2 linked regions of the Saccharomyces cerevisiae S288C genome follow. Each later gene encodes a partner of the first gene's protein in a complex. Each region holds a gene or a part of one and is shown on either strand. Other genes may lie near its edges. The genes, in order: TTI1 and TEL2.

What was found.
Region 2: TTI1 (region 1) and TEL2 share a complex: the UniProt entries of both Saccharomyces cerevisiae proteins name them as parts of the TTT complex.

Annotation. Positions count from the first base shown.
Region 1 is NC_001143.9:373,564-379,182, forward strand, and holds TTI1 (Tti1p), read left to right. Parts: upstream 1-1,892; coding exon 1,893-5,009; downstream 5,010-5,619. Other genes in the region: ubiquitin-protein ligase TUL1, read left to right, coding at 1-542; YKL033W-A (haloacid dehalogenase superfamily protein), read left to right, coding at 942-1,652. UniProt on the Saccharomyces cerevisiae protein: Component of the ASTRA complex involved in chromatin remodeling.
Region 2 is NC_001139.9:685,858-690,616, forward strand, and holds TEL2 (Tel2p), read left to right. Parts: upstream 1-2,041; coding exon 2,042-4,108; downstream 4,109-4,759. Other genes in the region: ESP1 (separase), read right to left, coding at 1-1,601; GTPase-activating protein MDR1, read left to right, coding at 4,388-4,759. UniProt on the Saccharomyces cerevisiae protein: Part of the TTT complex that is required to stabilize protein levels of the phosphatidylinositol 3-kinase-related protein kinase (PIKK) family proteins. Required for telomere length regulation and telomere position effect.

The sequences.
Region 1 (5,619 bases):
AAGGTATTCCTTCAAGAAGAGAAAGAGCAAGATCTAGCATTGGAGGAAATAGAAGTCAAAACAAAATGCCATTATTGTGGAGTTTTGTAATTGGTACAACAATAATTAGAAGCTTGCCCGTTGTGTATGTTTTCACTTACTCCTCTAATGTGTTCAGGCACCATAAAGATGTTCATTTCGTCGTATTTTTATCATTGTGGCTACTGTTTCAAATTAGTATACTGTATTCTCAAGATGTATTGGGATCGCGCTGGTTCTTGCCTAAGCACACAATACCTGATGGATATTCGTATTTCAAGCCCCTTTCAAACGAGTATATATCGGAGCATGGTGGTGGAACTGCTGAACATACCGTTGATTGCGCGATATGTATGTCTGATGTTCCAATTTACATAGAGGAAATTCCAGAAACTCATAAGGTGGATCAGCACTCTTACATGGTAACGCCTTGTAATCACGTATTTCATACTTCGTGTCTAGAAAACTGGATGAATTATAAGTTACAATGTCCTGTGTGTAGGTCACCATTACCTCCGTTGTAGATAGCATCTCTTGATCCTAAGAACTATATACTGTATTTGTATTCAAGATCCAAGATACCGTGACATTTCCTATTTGTCAACCATTGCAATAAGAAATTTTACATGAATAGTGCATTAACTTTTTATTACCACTAAAGTAGTTTTGCTTAAATATACAATAGGCAAACTAGACTTAGGATAATTCACAAGGGTTTTTAGTGTTACCCTTTTTCCGTATGACACATTTTTCGAGGAATTAATTATTGGGAAAATATTGCCGATCAAGATCCATTGAGGTGAATCTAAATCGCTCCAACTCCAAGTTGGGGAATCTTAAGACCGTCACTGCCTTCCAATTACACTGCTTTTGTTTCTTTGACAATAAGAACGCAAAAGTAAATTTCTTTTTTTTAACAAATTATGACACATCCTGTAGCAGTGAAGGCATGTCTATTTGACATGGATGGTCTTCTCATCAACACAGAGGATATTTATACTGAAACTTTAAATGAAACTCTCGCAGAATTTGGTAAGGGACCTTTAACTTGGGATGTGAAGATTAAATTGCAAGGGCTTCCGGGACCGGAAGCAGGAAAAAGGGTGATCGAACACTACAAATTACCAATAACTTTAGATGAGTACGACGAAAGAAATGTTGCATTGCAATCTCTTAAATGGGGTACTTGCGAATTTCTTCCCGGTGCATTGAATTTGTTGAAATACTTAAAGTTAAAGAACATTCCTATTGCATTATGTACGTCTTCGAACAAGACTAAATTTCGCGGCAAAACAAGTCATTTAGAGGAAGGTTTTGATCTTTTCGATACCATTGTCACTGGTGATGATCCAAGAATTGCAAAAGGTAGGGGTAAGCCTTTCCCGGACATTTGGCAGTTGGGTTTAAAGGAATTGAATGAGAAGTTTCATACCGATATTAAGCCCGATGAGTGTATAGTGTTCGAAGATGGTATTCCAGGCGTAAAATCAGCCAAGGCATTTGGTGCACACGTTATTTGGGTCCCCCATCCAGAAGCACATGCTGTTTTGGGGGACACAGAAGCTTTGTTAGCCGGTAAAGGTGAACTATTGTCTTCTTTGGAAAAACTGGAAATGTCCAAATATGGACTGTGAATTTCCAGTATTTACGTAAACAATATATTTGTATATTGCACTAAGTATAAAAAGGGATGATTTGTATTTGATTTATCACACTACTTTATGTGGTGAGCTCAGTTATTTTTGTATAATATACTATAGTACATGTTTGGGTTTTTATCGTTTTATTTCAATCTCATTACAATAAAATATTATAGTGAACATGCACATCGAAAGGAAAGATTGCAATAGCTGGTGTTCAAAAGCTTTGTGCAAATGAATTCAGACACGAATGCATTTAAGGACATAAGAATTTCATGTGTTGAACTTTCTAGGATCGCTTTTTTACCCACCGAATCATTTGATCCAAATTCATTAACGCTATTGGCATGTTTAAAAAAAGTTGAAGAGAAGTTATCAGCATACGAAGACGATTCACTTTCGCCAAAATTTGCAGATTATGTTTTTGTTCCTATCGCGAGTTTATTGAAACAGCCAGCTCTCGGCGAGTCTCAAACAGAATACGTCCTACTAATTATATTTCATCTCTTACGGACATGTTGGTCATCTAATGGTAAATTCTCCGAGCAATTGGGACAACAACTGTTCCCCTTAATCACATTTTTAGTCAGTTCTGATAAAGATAATCAAAAATTAATTACTAGATCAGACGAGTTCAAGTACGCTGGTTGTTTAGTCTTGCATCAGTTTTTCAAATCAGTAAGATCGCAAAGGTACCATAAAGAGTTCTTTTCGAACTCAAAACCTAATTTACTTCCCGCTCTAGGACATTCTGTTACCATTCTGTTGAAAATTCTGGAGCAATCGCCCCAAAATAATGAGCTTCAATTCAAAGCTTTGGCATCCTTAGAAGTACTATTTCAGGACATAATATCTGATGGTGAAATGCTTTCCTTTATTCTTCCGGGGAACGTTTCTGTTTTCGCTAAGATACTTACTAAACCAGGCCGTCAAATACATTATAAGGTGTGTGTTCGCACGCTAGAGGTTCTGGCAAAATTATTGGTTTTGGTTTACGATGATTTTAGTTTGGATATCAAAGTAAATAAGTTAACAGATATTCGAGAGTTGAGCGATACAAAGTTAAAACACGAGATAAATCAATCATTTATGTTTAATGGACCTATTGTTTTGTTACGCACAGATGGGAAGACGCATAGAGATACAAGTTGGTTGACGGCAACTTCTGGGCAAATCAATATTGCTTTGGAGGCCTTTATACCCAAACTATTAAAACGTAATAATGAATCAATTGATGAGGCATTAGCGACATTTGTATCAATCCTTTTAACTAGATGTGAAAATTCTTTAAATAATTGTGAGAAAGTGTTGGTATCCACTTTAGTACATTTGGAGCGTGATCCGATGTCCAAATTACCATCGCATTTGGTAAAATTAAAGGAAGTTGTCAATGAAGACCTGCACAAGCTAAGTGACATTATTCGGTTTGAAAATGCAGATAGGTTATCATCTTTATCATTTGCAATCACTATTCTAGAGAAAAATAACGAAAGAGATACAATGATCAATGAGGTAGTTAGATGTTTATTTGAATCGCTTAATGAATCTATTGAGCCACCAAGTTTGATCAATCATAAAGAGAGAATAATTGAACAAAGTAGTCAATTAACAACTACAGTAAATTTCGAAAACTTGGAAAGTACGAATGCTCTGATTGCTTTACCAAGATTATCAGAAGACATGTCACTCAAACTGAAAAAATTTACATACCATATGGGTTCTTTGTTGTTAGAAAGACATATTCTCAACGATGTGGTGACAGAGTTGATTTCAGAACAAGTTGATTCACCAAGAACGCAGAAGATAGTTGCGCTGTGGTTAAGCACCAATTTTATAAAGGCTATGGAAAAGCAACCGAAGGAGGAAGAAGTCTATCTACAATTTGAATCTGATGCCAACTATTCCTCTTCCATGGTTGAAGAAGTGTGTTTGATTGTATTGGAATTTTGCAATGAACTTTCTCAAGACATTAGCATGGAGATTGAAGGTAAAGGCATAAAAAAAAGTGATGAGTTTGCCGTATGTACAGTTTTATTCTCTATTGAAACGATTTGTGCGGTAATGAGAGAAGAATTTCAACCAGAATTGATTGACTATATATACACAGTAGTTGACGCCTTGGCATCACCGTCCGAAGCCATTAGGTATGTGAGCCAATCCTGTGCATTGAGGATAGCAGATACCCTATATCATGGGTCTATCCCAAACATGATCTTAAGCAACGTAGATTATCTTGTAGAATCTATTTCCTCAAGATTGAATTCTGGGATGACTGAACGAGTGAGCCAAATATTAATGGTGATTTGCCAATTGGCTGGCTATGAAACCATTGAAAATTTTAAAGATGTTATTGAAACGATATTTAAACTACTGGATTATTATCATGGATATAGTGATCTCTGTCTTCAATTTTTCCAACTATTTAAAATCATCATTTTGGAGATGAAGAAAAAATATATCAATGATGATGAGATGATTTTGAAAATAGCTAATCAACACATTTCACAAAGTACTTTTTCGCCCTGGGGTATGACCGATTTTCAGCAAGTACTCAATATACTAGATAAAGAGACACAGGTTAAAGATGACATAACAGACGAGAACGACGTCGATTTTTTGAAGGATGATAATGAGCCCAGTAATTTTCAAGAATATTTCGACTCCAAATTAAGAGAGCCAGATAGCGACGACGATGAAGAAGAAAGAGAAGAAGAGGTGGAAGGAAGTTCTAAAGAGTATACTGACCAGTGGACCTCACCTATACCATCAGATTCATACAAAATACTATTGCAAATTTTGGGTTATGGGGAAAGATTATTAACCCATCCATCAAAACGATTAAGAGTGCAAATTCTTATTGTTATGAGGCTTATATTTCCCTTGCTATCAACACAGCATAATCTGTTGATAAGGGAGGTTGCTAGTACATGGGACTCCATCATACAGTGCGTCCTATGCTCTGATTATTCGATCGTTCAGCCCGCATGTTCATGCGTGGAGCAGATGATAAAATATTCTGGTGATTTTGTCGCCAAGAGATTCATTGAACTTTGGCAGAAACTGTGTCAGGATTCTTTTATATTGAAAGAACTGAGGATTGATCCAACGGTGCACAACCATGAGAAAAAATCGATTAGTAAGCATGTCAAATTCCCACCAGTAACTGAAAATGCGCTAGTATCGATGGTACATATGGTGCTAGAAGGGGTCAAAATTACAGAGTATTTAATTTCTGAAGCGGTACTTGAACAAATAATATATTGTTGTATTCAGGTTGTTCCAGTGGAGAAAATATCATCTATGTCATTGATAGTGGGGGATATCGTGTGGAAAATAAGAAATATAAATTAAACTTATGTGGCTAAACATATGCATTTGTATATGGTAATACAGTGGTTTATTATTGCTCACATTGTTCACACCAGTGACTATAGTGATTACAATAAGTAATTAGACAATAAATGTTATGAGTGATCCAGAATGAGGAATGATATGTGACTTCAGAATTAGCAGGGCAGCTAAATTAAAGATCTTTTAATTCAATTTTAGCTTACGATTTATATCTATGAAAGACATGAATTGTCACTTTGGGTAACCAATGATATCGGTGACTGCTATTTATACCTATCTCATATTATATTAAGAAGACCAGCTTTTATTCTCGGTTGGTAGTACCACTTGTCTACTAATCATCAACAATATATTCTAATAAAGTATTATGTACATATATATATATATATTACCAGCTCGGCCAGGCATTGGAAAACAGAAGAAACATTTCTCATGATTGAAATGGATAAACACGTTAATCAACAGGGACTATGTTGCAGGTGAAATATTAGCAATTAATAAGAAGGGCAATACGCATATTACAAATGAAGCGATAGAACAGACAGTGTCCAAGTAATGATAATAACCAATATATGCGAGTATTAGTATTTTCCTAAAAAAAAGCAAGATT
Region 2 (4,759 bases), on another chromosome or scaffold:
GAACTGTTTGAAAACTCGATGAATTTTGTGATTTTTAGGCGTGTAAAGCAATGAATGAATGCATTTTGGCAAAAGTCAAAAACAAATGATAGCGTATCATTTCGTAGCATGCAATATACATTGAACAAACAGGAAAAGATTTCAATTTTTTTCTGGGCACTCTGAGCACTAGATATAAATTTTTCAAATTTCAGTATAGTACGATGAGATGTTTTTGAATCATTACTGATTAAAACATTTGAGATTTCCAAATTAGCAGTCTTTAACAAAAACGAATGACTCTTAAATAAAACAGAAGCATTGAAAAGGACACTGATAATATTTGACAGTCGTTTAGGCTCTTTATAATCGATACAAATTTCTGATAAAACTCCCAGAAGTTCGGATAATAATGCCGCCGCAGATTCGTCATTAATGGATTTAATATTTGAGTTGATATAAATAACAGTACAATCAAACTGCCTCAATATATCCTTATTTTTAGGTAATCCCTCTAGGCGAATAGTAGACCAAAGACAGACTAAACATTTTAATGTTGCGGATATATGTTTCCCTTTATTTTGTAGAAAATTCGTTGCATTTTCGAGTATTACGTTCAAATCATCGACAGATATACAGGACCAGAGAAGACGGTTTTCACTCATGTTGCAGTATTCATTGAATTCTTTTTTACTTTTTATCGCTCTTTGTACCTCAGTAGTTTCTTCGTAACTTAAAATGTCTAGAAGCATTATTTTATCCAATCCATCGTACAGCATGGAATAGGATAAGTAAAATGAATTTAAATATATTTTATTAGGTCCCATCTCCAAATAATTTTTATGAAGAAGGTTTTTGCTAAAACACTCGACGGTAATGTTGCTAATGAACTTTTTAAAAGGTAATTTGAACTGTTTGATATATTGTAGAAATTTTAGCCCGAATAGAACTTTGCAACTCGTCGTGACAGAAAAAAAGCTCAGCACGATTTTTGTGAGAGCGTGAGCTTTGAGGTTAGGGTCTTTCAAAAGATATCTTTTATCATGGGAAAATAGTTCTAATATATGCGGTAAGTATTCGTCTACTAGCTTTCTTTTCAGTATAATCTGCAGCGCTAATATTTTCAGATTTGAAAGATAGTAGTCGTTCCACGTACTGAAGTCTGCTAGAAGAATGTTTTTCAGACTATGAGCTTGAAATAAATTCGTTTCATTGAAAAGAAAAATAATTTCAGAGGAGGCCAATCCTAATGCGTTATTATTTATTAGTTTAACAATTATCATCAAATGTTGTTTAACAGTGGAGTTTATATGGCCCCACATGTGATGGCTCTTCAATAGGCTATATATTGAATTTAATGAATGGTCAACAGTGGTAATATCCTCAATGGCTAAGTCTATGTTATTGCTTGCAATTTTTGTAAAGTCACGTATTATGTTATTATGCATTGCTAGTATGCCAATAGAATTGGATGAGGCGTCTCCAGACAACACCGAGGTCAGTGGTCTAGTTTGGCCACTATGATGTACTTTCGAAAGCGTGTCGTTTAAAAGGTAGGACTTGCTAGTCATCGGAGTATTCGGACTAATCTCATTCAGCGGTTCCTCCTGTTTTACCATCATTCCTTAATTTATAAGCACTTCGTGCCTAGGTTAAATTATTACTAGGTTAGCCTCAAAAATGTTGGGTTTAGGTCAACTTTTTACTATGCTCGCAGTTAGAAGGAAAAGAAAAATATGCTATAGCCAGATGCTCCTGTGAAACGTGTCCTAACTAAAATAATTCGGATGTTTCTGATGATAGAGTGTCTATATTCCTCCAAAAGGAATTTAACTAATTGTGGTAAGCTTCTCGCTTCAAATGCGCAATGTTACGTGGATGGGCTTTGTATCCATGTTCTTGTTTTTGTTTGTTTACCTCTTTTCTGTAAAGACCCGTGAAGTTTGAAAAGAAAGAAAATAAAAACAAACACCAAGAAATGCAGACAATAAGTACTTGTGGACAGGTTGCCGCTAATAGAACGTGAATCGAGCTACTTTATACGCATTTAATTCCTCATGAAATGGTTTTAGAAACGCTGAAACAAGGGCTTGACAGCAGTCAAATACATGAAGCTTTAATACAACTAGATTCCTATCCTCGCGAACCGGTGGATCTAGATGCCTCGATGGTTCTCATAAAATTCGTAATTCCAGTTTATCCATCACTACCAGAAAGATCGAAGGTGATATTGAGACGGCTAGCTTCTAAATCGTTTACATTTTTATGCCAAATTGTCACCTTCTCAAGGACAATAAGTGGCCGCGATGGACTGCAAGAGATACGCATATACCAAGAAATTTTAGAAGACATCATCAGTTTTGAACCGGGATGTTTGACTTTTTATTTAAAGGCAAGCACTACTAGCAAAGCAGACCGTGATAGCATTAAGGCCCTTTTCTTTGGGAGCAAGTTATTTAATGTGTTGGCCAACCGAATTGATATGGCGAAATATTTGGGATACCTTCGGCTTCAGTGGAAATTTCTACTTGAGAGTAATGAAACAGATCCACCTGGGTTTTTAGGGGAATGGTTAGTTTCATCATTTTTGCTTAACCCAGTGCTAGCGGCAGATATGTTATTAGGCGAATTATTTTTATTGAAAGAGTCGTATTTCTTTTCTTTTCAGAAAATCATATCTGCTAGTAGTCTGATAGATCAAAAGAGGCTGATTGCTAAGTTTTTATTACCATATATTCAAGTTATCGTGACTTTAGAAAATTTGAACGATGTTAGGAAAATTCTGCGGCGGTTTGATCTCGATAAAATCATAAGTCTGTCCGTATTATTTGAAATACAGTCGCTGCCATTGAAGGAAGTGATAGTACGTCTGATGAGCAACCACTCTTCCACGAAGTTTGTTAGCGCTTTGGTAAGTAAATTTGCTGATTTTACAGATGAGGAAGTAGACACAAAGACATGTGAATTGCTTGTACTCTTTGCAGTGCACAATCTCAATCATTCCCAGAGAGAGGAAATAGCACACGATGAGCGGTTTTTGAATGGCGTGACCAAACATTTAGGTAGCAATGAACGTGAGGCAAGGGAGCGTGCGATGTTTATTGCCAAGCTTTTATCAGGCGGTCATCTGAAGTACGAAAGTGATTTTAAAATCAATATACCGAATGTCAAATTCGAAAGCAATAGCGATGATAAAATCATTGATTTCCAATCTTTAAAAAATCCATCCATATGCAATACCCAAACTGATGTGGGTAAGGATAAGATTACTGAGGTCTCGGGTCATGTTCAAAGCCTTACATTGGACTGCAGTGATAGCGATGATGAAGATGAGAACGATGAGCGGGAGATTGTTAAACGAATTGTATTTTTAAAAGATTTAATGAAAGAATACGAAAAAACTGGGGAATCTCGAAAAGCTCCATTGATACCACTTCTGAAGCAAACAGTGAAATTGATACGGCAAAAGGCGGATTTTCAGTTAGAGGTTGGCTATTATGCACAAGGTATTCTGTCAAGCATTGTGTGCTTGAATAATGAATTTGATGAACCGCTTTTCGAGCAGTGGAGAATAAACGCTCTAACAAGCATACTGGTCGTCCTTCCAGAGAAGGTGAATGGCGCTATAAATATTCTATTCAATTCAGAACTGTCGTTACAGCAAAGGATGTCACTATTGTCGGCTCTGGGTCTTTCTGCAAGAGAGTTGAGAGGGCTTGATGATCCTACTATTGTCAAGCCCAAGTTTGATTTTCCAACAAATCGTTTACCGTGGGATGATCAAAGCCATCATAATAGTAGGCTTGTTGAAGTTCAAGAGTCAACAAGTATGATAAAGAAGACGAAAACAGTATGGAAATCTAGAAAACTAGGCAAGGATCGAGAAAAAGGAACGCAAAACCGCTTTAGAAAATATGCTGGTCTATTCTTCTATCCGCTAGCACACGGTTGGCTTAATGGAATTGACGTAGGCACATACAATCAGCTTTTTAAGTCGCATTATTTAACAACACTGCGTATCATATACTCTTGCGCTAACCCGGTCCACGATTTTGAATCCATGACGGAGTTGATGAATCATATAATTAGTTCAGCCATAGAGGAAGGAATTTCTCTCAATAAAGGTTAGTAGCATAGTTATTTGTACCAATCTTATGATACATATTTGAATAAATTTAGTGCGTTCTCTGTCAGCGTCGTTAGTATTTAATGCACAGCATATTATTTCAGAAGGTCGGCCGACTCCTGCAACTGGGAAAAAGAACTTCAATAAGAAAAGGCCTGAACAAATCTGCTTGGTAAGGGCCCAACAACATTTAAGAAATTGTACATTTTGAAAGCACTGATCCATCAATTAAAGCACCGAACAACCTCAGAGTTGATACAATTATTAGTTAAAGGATAGGATATGTCATTTTTTGATTCTTTACGTCAAAAGGCACCCTTTTTGGATAAACTGGCAGACAGTTTCACTCCAACATTAACCAGAGATGAGAAATTCAGATTAAAATATAAACTTCCAGCTAATGAAAACATTTTGGAAGATACGAATGCAGAAGTTTCATTTGCAACTTCCATTAAAGATGGAAAAGGGCATTCTGATAGAGTGAACAATAAAGGGAGAAAAACTGCTTATGTGTATTCCGGGAGATTGTTTTTAACACCTCATTTTCTGGTATTTCGAGATGCATTTGATCATTCATCGTGCGTACTAATACTGAATATTTCTACCATTAAACGTGTAGAGAGGTCGCCATCCGAATCATATGAATTTGCTCTT